Arabidopsis thaliana: one gene and its partner. The protein of the gene in region 1 interacts with the protein of each later gene in a pairwise test. Each region holds a gene or a part of one and is shown on either strand. Other genes may lie near its edges.

Region 1 (5,066 bases):
TGCTTGGCTAAGCTTAACGACTATTGTACATACTAGGACGTGCACAAATCTCTAAATGGTACCATGATTTTAGTTATACTTCAATACTGTGAATGAGGGTTTTAAATGACAAGAATATCAGAAGTTTCACGGACTATATGGATTAATATAGATTTGATATAAAATTCCTTACTTATCAAAATTAATCATCGTGTGTCTCACAAATCTATATTGAAGCTACTGTAGAAATGTTGTTAGAATGCATGATGGTACGTCGGCAAGTAAGACATCACATTGTATATGATTGAAATTACTTTTAGAATGGGAAAAAATAAGTCTGAAGTTACTAGCTCTCGTCTAAAATGCTGAAAGAAATACAAAATAGTAGTGCGTCGTTATCTAAATGGTTCTTTTACGTGGACTATGACATCTTCTTCTGATCTTACCGAACATAACTGAGTAAAACCACACACAAAAAGCAATACCTATTCACCTTTAGTGTATATATATTCACACACACACATGCTCATCCTCATCCCCCACCTTCACTTCCAAATATATTTTGAAAAACCCAACGAAAAAGTATTAATTTTGATAACTAGGTGAATAAACGTAATTTACGATTTAAATCACAGCGGGTATACAATTTTCTTAGGTAACCAAGAGAGATATGGGCAAAGGTCGGAGCTTACCGATTAGTCGAAGCGAGAGGTTTCTTGGGAGCCATCAGCAGTCCGATGACCATCATGTGGACGGAGAAACTACCTTTGAGCTGGAGCTCATGGAAGAGGATGTCTGGTCGGTGGTCGAGCCTGACGAACCAAAGGAACTAGGTGCGTGGAACGCACGCTCTCTCGAGGCCAGTGGCAGTGAATGGAGACGGAAGGGAGGACGCGTGAGTGACCTGACCGTTCCGAGTGATGGACAGAGGAAGAGACACGTGGCGACTTCTGCGCCGGTGAAAGTTCCTGACTGGAGCAAGATCCTAAAGGTGGAGTCCGTCAAGTCAATGCATAATAATAATAACGATAATGATAATGCTGACGTGGCGGATTGTGATTGGGAGAGTGCGATGGTACCGCCTCATGAATACGTGGCCGCGCGTAGCCGTAACGGTGACGGTGGTTCGTCCGTGTTTTTGGGCGTGGGAAGAACGTTAAAAGGACGTGACATGAGACGGGTCAGAGACGCCGTGTGGAGCCAAACCGGGTTTTATGGTTAATTTTACGTAATTAATTTGATCATTAATATTTGATTGTAGTATATGATTTGTCCATAGAGTTGAAGTAATTAATTAAGCACTATACAATAACTAGTGTAATCATCATTTATTTAAAATCACTCGTCTATTCTACATGTAATTTAACATTGATCAACCAAATTCAATATCAAAAAAATTAATTCAACGGTCTTTCTCTTAAACTCTAGCTTTGATTAGAATAATCAAGAATTTAAGATAGCTGAAAATGGAATATTTCCGTGTAAAAATTAAATTAAAACCGTTAATGTCGGCGGGACATAAATGGTAATAAAAAAAAACTCGTGAGAAAACATAAATTTCCCAATCGGACTTACTTCTCCTCTAACCGAGAACACAAGAAATTCTATTAAAAAAAACCTAAAAATGGGTTGCTTTAGCAGCAAACACCGAAACACAGAGAGTGATATCATCAATGGCAGCGTACAGAGCTCAATTCCGACAAATCAACCTGAAAACCATGTCTCTCGTGATGTTCTCAAGCCTCAGAAACCTCCTTCTCCTCAAATTCCGACAACAACCCAATCAAATCATCATCACCAACAAGAATCCAAACCCGTTAATCAGCAAATCGAAAAGAAGCACGTTCTAACACAACCATTGAAACCAATCGTTTTTAGAGAAACAGAGACAATTCTAGGCAAACCCTTTGAAGAAATAAGGAAACTTTACACGTTAGGTAAAGAATTAGGTCGAGGCCAATTTGGTATAACCTACACTTGCAAAGAGAATTCAACAGGCAACACATACGCTTGCAAATCAATACTCAAGAGGAAACTAACGAGAAAGCAAGACATAGATGATGTGAAGAGAGAGATTCAGATAATGCAGTATTTGTCTGGACAAGAGAACATTGTTGAGATCAAAGGTGCTTATGAAGATAGACAATCGATACATTTGGTGATGGAGTTGTGTGGTGGTAGTGAATTGTTCGATAGGATTATAGCTCAAGGACATTACTCTGAGAAAGCAGCTGCTGGTGTTATTAGATCGGTTTTGAATGTTGTTCAGATTTGTCATTTCATGGGAGTGATTCATCGTGATCTCAAGCCTGAGAATTTTCTGCTCGCTAGTACTGATGAGAATGCTATGCTTAAAGCTACTGATTTTGGATTGTCTGTGTTCATTGAAGAAGGTGAGTTTGTGTGATCATATCTCTTGTTCTGCTTTTTAGTATATATATGCGAATGTTTTAGATATCTTAAGATTCTGATGAATGTTGGAGTTATATTGTGGATATAGATTTTGTTAAGAATAGTCTGTATCTTAAGAATCTTGTTTCATTTAGTGATTTAGTAGATAGTGGTAAGCTTGAAATCAGAGGTTTTGCTAGTTTTGTGTGAACTTGAGAATGTGTGTCAATGGATTATTATAGAACTTGTGTGTTCTTTTCCTTTCCTTATTGTCAAATTATGTCAGTTTAGTTAGTTAGTTGATGATCTTGTGTTCATATGCTTAATGTGTTTTGTTTCTAAACCGTAAAACAAAAATTGCAGGGAAAGTTTATAGGGATATAGTAGGAAGTGCTTACTATGTTGCTCCTGAAGTATTAAGAAGAAGTTATGGAAAAGAAATCGATATTTGGAGTGCAGGGATTATTCTATACATCTTGCTTTGTGGTGTGCCTCCTTTTTGGTCTGGTAATAAAATCTGACCAATTCTTTGATTTGGTTTATCCTTTTAATTATGTTGTTTATTTGTGTTGTTGTTGTGGTTACATTGTAGAAACTGAGAAGGGGATATTTAATGAGATTATAAAGGGAGAAATTGATTTTGATAGCCAACCATGGCCTTCTATATCTGAGAGTGCTAAAGATCTTGTGAGGAAGTTGCTTACTAAGGACCCTAAGCAACGAATCTCAGCGGCACAAGCTCTTGGTAAAGTCACATTGGTCTCTCTAAGTGCGGTTTTGTAGTTGACGTACTTTTCAGTGCTTTACTAATCTGTAGTGATCCTTGTGGTGTTGTTTTTTCAGAACATCCTTGGATCAGAGGAGGAGAAGCACCGGACAAGCCTATTGATAGTGCTGTTTTATCTCGGATGAAGCAATTCCGAGCAATGAATAAGCTTAAAAAGCTAGCTCTAAAGGTAAAAACAAATTTCTATCTAGAAGTAGCATTTTCTTCTATATTCCCTGATCATTGGTTCTGTTTCTGATCTGTTTTGCAGGTTATTGCAGAGAGTCTCTCGGAAGAGGAAATTAAAGGTCTTAAAACCATGTTTGCGAATATGGATACTGACAAAAGCGGCACAATCACTTATGAAGAACTGAAAAACGGGCTAGCTAAACTTGGCTCTAAACTCACTGAAGCTGAAGTGAAGCAACTCATGGAAGCCGTAAGTATTGCCATCCTATTTGCTCTGCTTCTTATGTTACTTATTATTCTAACAAAAGACTTTTATTTTATATATGTTTCAGGCTGATGTAGATGGTAATGGAACAATTGACTACATCGAATTTATCTCAGCAACGATGCATAGATACAGATTTGATCGAGATGAACACGTATTCAAAGCCTTCCAATACTTCGACAAAGACAACAGCGGGTAAGTTTAGTCCCTTGAGGAACAAGGTAAATATAGACTTGACGCTACTTTAAGAAACAAATTTGGATTTTTCTTAACACAGGTTTATCACAATGGATGAGTTGGAGTCAGCCATGAAAGAGTATGGTATGGGAGATGAAGCTAGCATCAAAGAAGTCATAGCGGAAGTCGATACAGATAACGTAAGTTTTGTTTTCCCTCTACACAGCATCAAAAAGGTTATGAACAAGTCTTAAGCCAAGATTGAGATTAATGGGTCTCTTTTGCAGGATGGAAGAATAAACTATGAAGAATTTTGTGCGATGATGAGAAGTGGTATCACACTGCCACAACAAGGGAAAATTCTTCCAGTCCAATGACTGATAGATAAATCGAGAAGCCTTGATAGAGGAACTTAAAAATTAATTAGATATCCAACATTTTTTACAGCCGTGCAAAAGAGTTGCTGACTTAAACTAGATACTAGTTGTGTTGTCCAATAAAAACAAGTGGCCTTTAATTTCTTTCTCTTATCTGATATGTCTTGTCCAAAGTTTTGGTTACTTTAGAGTACCAGCAAATTACTTTCGGAGTTATACATGTGTGCCCAATAAAGAAGTTGTAGTATAGTAGTAACATCATGTTATATCTCATACTTTCATCACTTGGAAAATATTTCAGAGATGTAGATTATATACATATATAAATGTATGTATAAAGAGAAAAGTGGGTTTTAAGAAAAAGAATTCACCTTCTGGATCCAAATGAATTGTGATACCGTGATCCCCATAAGCCTCCCAAAAAAAATTCTTTCGGCAATTTATTAACAACGTAACCGTCGATTCTCACATTCCCAAGGTGTCCCTCTTTGGGGAAAACTAAAGAGATTTCGTCATGTTTCAACCAAAACTCGCTAACTGCATGAAGTTTTTTGGTCGGTTGGAATTTTGGCTCCATGTTTATATGATCTAAGTGGGCAAAAGACCAAACTACTCATGTGTGATCATATTTTCCTAGTCTATTTATAACTTTTTGAACCATACTTTACGTTATACAAAACCCTAGTACTTATGGAAAGTTATAAAAAAAAAAATCTATTGAAAATAAGAAAATGCTCATATACACATAAGGTTAACTGTTCGATTTACATAAAATTTATAGATACTAAACCCTAAATTCACAAAGTATCTCATCCGCTGCGGACGAAACCATGTCCTATGATCCGGTCGAAGAATATTCAAGTAAGATCTTTCTCTCTTTGTCGAAATTGTTTGTCTATGATCTCGATTAGCTTTCATCTGA
Region 2 (4,515 bases), on another chromosome or scaffold:
TTTCTTTTGTTAAGAGAAGAAGATGGAGACCCGTGAAGACCAAGGTTTGTCTCCAAGCTACAAGTTAACCAAAGCGACTCTTCTATGCCATCTATGTGTCTACCTTGTCCCCACCTAAATCTTAGCCTGAGTTCAAAATGATTTGATTTGAGTGCTCTATATACTATTTCTTTTGGTTACTTAGTTTATAAACGAGTAACTAACTAGCCCATAATATTCAATATCCATATAAATACAGTCATTAGAATTATATTTAAACAAGTGTTGGTGGATCAATCTATGGACTGATGGTACTTATTCCGGTTTCTTGTGATAGAGAGAGAAGTAATCGTGTCCACATCATATTATTGACGTTTTTCCCCTTTCTATAGCAAAGTTTTAACTTTTATGGGTCCATAATGTGATGTACATACATAACTGAGTGAAACTAGATGTCAAGATTTTTCTTATAAACTATTTTGAAAAATAGTGCAATCGACAGGCTAGGTCTACAAAACGTTGAATTTAACCTCTCATTTTTCGAAAGTGACATGTCTCTACATAGCAAACACCTAGTTAACATTGAAACGTGAAAAAGAAAGAAAGGAATATATAAGTTGAATAATTGATCCCGAATTCGAATGTCTACGAAAGACTTTATAACAGTTCCAACACATCAATGATCGATCCGGAGATATTTTGTTAAGTTAACATAGATTGATCAGTGTGAGAAACAAATGTAAAAAAAAAAAAAACTTACCTCTTTGAACCAGAAACTCTTCTAAGGAGAGCAAGAAAACACAACACACGATAAAGTACGAAAAACCCTAACAAAACATAAACATTAAACCACCTCTGTTTCTCATGAAGTCCTTTCTTCTTCAACACGTCACCTCCAGTAACCATGCAGATCTTTGTTTGAGCTTCCTCCAACCAGACCAAACACTTGGAGGCTAAGCACGAGTACTCGTTTATCAGAAGTGCATCCAATGCATACTTATACATTGAGAAGAAGTACATGAAAAGCCAGTACTTGGGAAGACTTTCCTTGGAAATGAAGTAACCGGAAAACAAGAAGAAAGCCGCTAGAAGAATTGTCACAAGAGAGGTTCCCGTAATGTAATTTGGGGCAAGAGAGCTCAAGAAGAGAACAAAAGAGTTCGCCATTAGGAGAATGATCCATATCACGAGAACGAAGTACCCAAAAGCTTGCCATGTGGGGCAGAGACCAATGAGGAAATAGACCGAAACAGAGTAAATGATTGAGATAACGAACAAGTACGGCAAGAATACGAGTGTATTTGCGAGAATGTGAGAGGAGAGTCTGTAAATACCACTCGAAGTCTCCCTGAGAAGAATTGGACGCTCGTTGATGAAGATCGGGAGGGTTTCGGTTGTTGAAGAGAGGAGAAAAGTGAGCGTGAAGGCGAACATACCGAATCTTTTCTCAATTCCTGCTTTGCCGATTCCGATGTTGATGTAGATAGTTCCTAGGACAAGACCAACTACAAGGGCTTCTAATGCATTGGTTAGAAGTAGTTGCCTTGTCCGGTAAATGATCTTCCAGAATCTTCTCGCGAGAAGGCTTATCTCGGTGATTCTTGATTTTCTATATCGAACAATACTCTGTTTTTCTCTCTGTTTCCGGTTTTCGATTGAAGGGAGAGCAGTAGCATCGGTGTTTCCGTCGGATTCTCGTAGTTCTTGAAGTATTTCCATTGCATATTCAAGGGAATTGAGCTGCGGAGGGACGGTAAATCCCTTGAAGAGCAAGAAACCTTCGAGGGAGTCAAGTCTTCCGTGGTACACAACAGTTCCTTTTGAAAGAAGTAACAACCGATCGATGATAGACAGAATCTTGAAGCTAGGCTGGTGAATGGACAATATCACGGTCCGTTGTCTTGACACAGCGATGGATTTGAGGATGTGAATGACGTCAAAAGCGGATTTACTGTCTAAACCCGAAGTGGGTTCATCGAGGAGAAGAAAGCAAGGGTCGTGAAGGAGGCTTAACCCTATCGAGACTCTTCTTCTTTCGCCACCGGATAAGCCTTGAGCGAGTCTTGTGTGGGAAAGATGTGTTAGGTTAAGCTCTGATAGAAGAGAGGTTACGGTTTCAGAAACTATTGATGGGTTTGGGAGCAAGAGACAAGCAGCGAAGGAGAAGGTCTCGGAGACGGTGAGGAGAGGGAAGAAAGAGTCATGTTGGGGAACGTAAGAGGAGATTTTTCGATAAGAGGAAGGGTTAATGGGAATGGAGTTAAGGAGGATTGAACCGGAAGTTGGGGAGGTTTTAGAGGCGAGAATGTCAAGGAGAGTTGATTTTCCGGCGCCGGAAGGGCCAACGACGGCGAGGATCTCGGTTGGATGAGCGGTGAGAGTGATGTTGCGGAGGATAAAGGAGGGTGGCTCAGTCGCCGGGAAGCGGAGGAGGGAGAGAGAGGTTTTTGGTATGGTGTAGGAGATTGAAGAGGTGGTTAATGTGTAGGCCGCCGTCTCCGGCGGAGGTGATGGAGGTATTTCCATAGAGAATGGTTCTAAGTTCTAACTTGTAAGAGTTTAAGACGTTGAAGAGTGTAGTGAATGAGATTTATATAATTAAGTTTTTATTTGGTCTTGTGATGATGTAAATGTTGTAAGCCAAAAACCTAATTTTACATTTTTGGGTTGTTTTCTTTCACTAAGATTTTTTGGATTTTTGCAGTATATTGTTTTAACCTTCGAAATGTATATGTGTATATCGGTAGAGTTTTGGGTCAAAAATCTCTCAAATAAATATTATTTTTCTTTTTTTTCTCCACATATACATCACCTTCGAATTCGAATACAATCTCTAAACAAAAAAAAAATCGTAATGTTTTTATAATTTTCGATCTAATTTACGACAAAATAAAAAATAGAGAATGTAGCTTATGGGCTTGAAAATTTACATAGGCCTATACATTACGGGCTTTATGAAACTCATATGTAGCCCTGTAAATAAATAAACGAGAACCAAATTGGATAGACAAAGCCACTTATTGAGATAATAATAAAATGGAATTGTAGTCTTGTAGATAATGTTCCCATTCTCAAACTAAAACATTGTCCAATATCGATTGGAAAAAATGTCAAAAGAAATCACGAACTTTTAAATTTAGGACGAAAAAAACATAAACTTGTGAAATGTTATTTAAATCACAAAATTTTATTTGATTTCTGAAAAAAATGGTCAGGGCATGTCGTTATTTTTCTGTTAGCAGACCAAAATGGCCTAGTCAACAAAATTTGACCATTTTATTCAAAAACCAAACAAAATTTCGTAATTTAAATGACATTTCACAAGTTCATTTTTTCGTCCAAATTTAAAAATTCACAATTCTTTTTGACATTTTTCCAAATATTGATCCAAAACTAAGTCCATTAATCGTGTTCTCTCTCACACATCAATTTCTCTCGCTTCTCTCCACAAAGATCTCAAATTAGCTCTTACTCTACCATCTTAGCTCAGATGGCACCTCAAGTGAACCATTTAAATGATGATTCATTTTGTTTATGAATGATGATTCATTTCCACTTGCAAATTCCAATTTCCTTGGATTTTGTTCCACATTAGTTACATTTTCATAATGAAATTTGTTTCTTGTTTGTTAAATATTTTTGCCGAAGTATGAATTACTCCAATTCTTCTTATTTCAAATAAGTCTATAAATAAGATATAGTAATATGCCCTTAATCACAAACAGTCACATGCAATGCATTCAAAATCCCATGATTAGTATATAGAGACCTCGAGTAATGTAAAAGAACCTCAACTTAAACTACCATGTTCGTTAATTAATTATAACTTTCGAACAAATATATGGCTAAATACAGGTAATCTATAATACAATTTGCGATGATTAGGACATTGTGTACATACATAAACAGACAGATCATTTTTTTCGTCGGACAAATAAACTTGAAAACATTATTAAGCTAAATTGGTCGGAGACATGTGTCCTACGTTAGCATCTAAAGAAAATCTAAGAAGAGGGGACAACCAAATCTACTTGAAAAGTCTTATGAAACTAAACAAGAAGTTCCTTTTTTTTTTTTTTGTCAAGAACAAGAAGTTCCTTTTTGTTCTATACTTCTATGTAGTAGAAAACGGTGTCGTTTTGAAAGTGCAACGTATTCTTCCTCATGTGGGACTTTTAAACATGGCCACGTGTATGGTTCTCCGGCGTCGATTGCTCTTTGCTTCCTTGTGAGGTGGTTGTTCTCGACATGATATTGATAGTGTTGATTATTTATTTCTGTATTAATTGACATGATAGTGATCATGATTATTGTTTAGACAAAAGAAAAAGAAAAGAAAAACTCCAAAGAGAAGTGAATGTGTTATTTTGTTTTTTGAGTTTCGAGCGGATCTTGTATTATGATTCTGCACAGAATGTTATGAGACTGATCCATTGCACGCGTTGAGTTTGTTTTATGCTCATCACTATTACTACTTCGGAAGCATCCCACGGCATATAAACTCGTCTTATAATTAGGAGGTAATATAACTTAAGC

Evidence for each region. Proteins that work in one complex are often made in the same cells at the same time.
Region 2: the proteins of CPK15 (region 1) and ABCG8 interact in a protein complementation assay, tested with the Arabidopsis thaliana proteins (one large-scale study listed by BioGRID).

The regions. Positions count from the first base shown.
Region 1 is NC_003075.7:11,639,244-11,644,309, forward strand, and holds CPK15 (calcium-dependent protein kinase 15), read left to right. Parts: upstream 1-1,558; 5' UTR 1,559-1,603; coding exon 1,604-2,372; intron 2,373-2,733; coding exon 2,734-2,877; intron 2,878-2,962; coding exon 2,963-3,115; intron 3,116-3,213; coding exon 3,214-3,326; intron 3,327-3,407; coding exon 3,408-3,575; intron 3,576-3,657; coding exon 3,658-3,785; coding exon of another isoform or gene 3,786-3,789; exon of another isoform or gene 3,790-3,867; coding exon 3,868-3,967; intron 3,968-4,054; coding exon 4,055-4,135; coding exon of another isoform or gene 4,136-4,144; exon of another isoform or gene 4,145-4,214; coding exon 4,215-4,244; 3' UTR 4,245-4,519; downstream 4,520-5,066. Other genes in the region: AT4G21926 (uncharacterized protein), read right to left, coding at 473-522, 672-727; AT4G21930 (senescence regulator (Protein of unknown function, DUF584)), read left to right, coding at 650-1,201.
Region 2 is NC_003076.8:21,419,041-21,423,555, forward strand, and holds ABCG8 (ABC-2 type transporter family protein), read right to left. Parts: upstream 2,676-4,515; 5' UTR 2,506-2,675; coding exon 736-2,505; 3' UTR 550-735; downstream 1-549.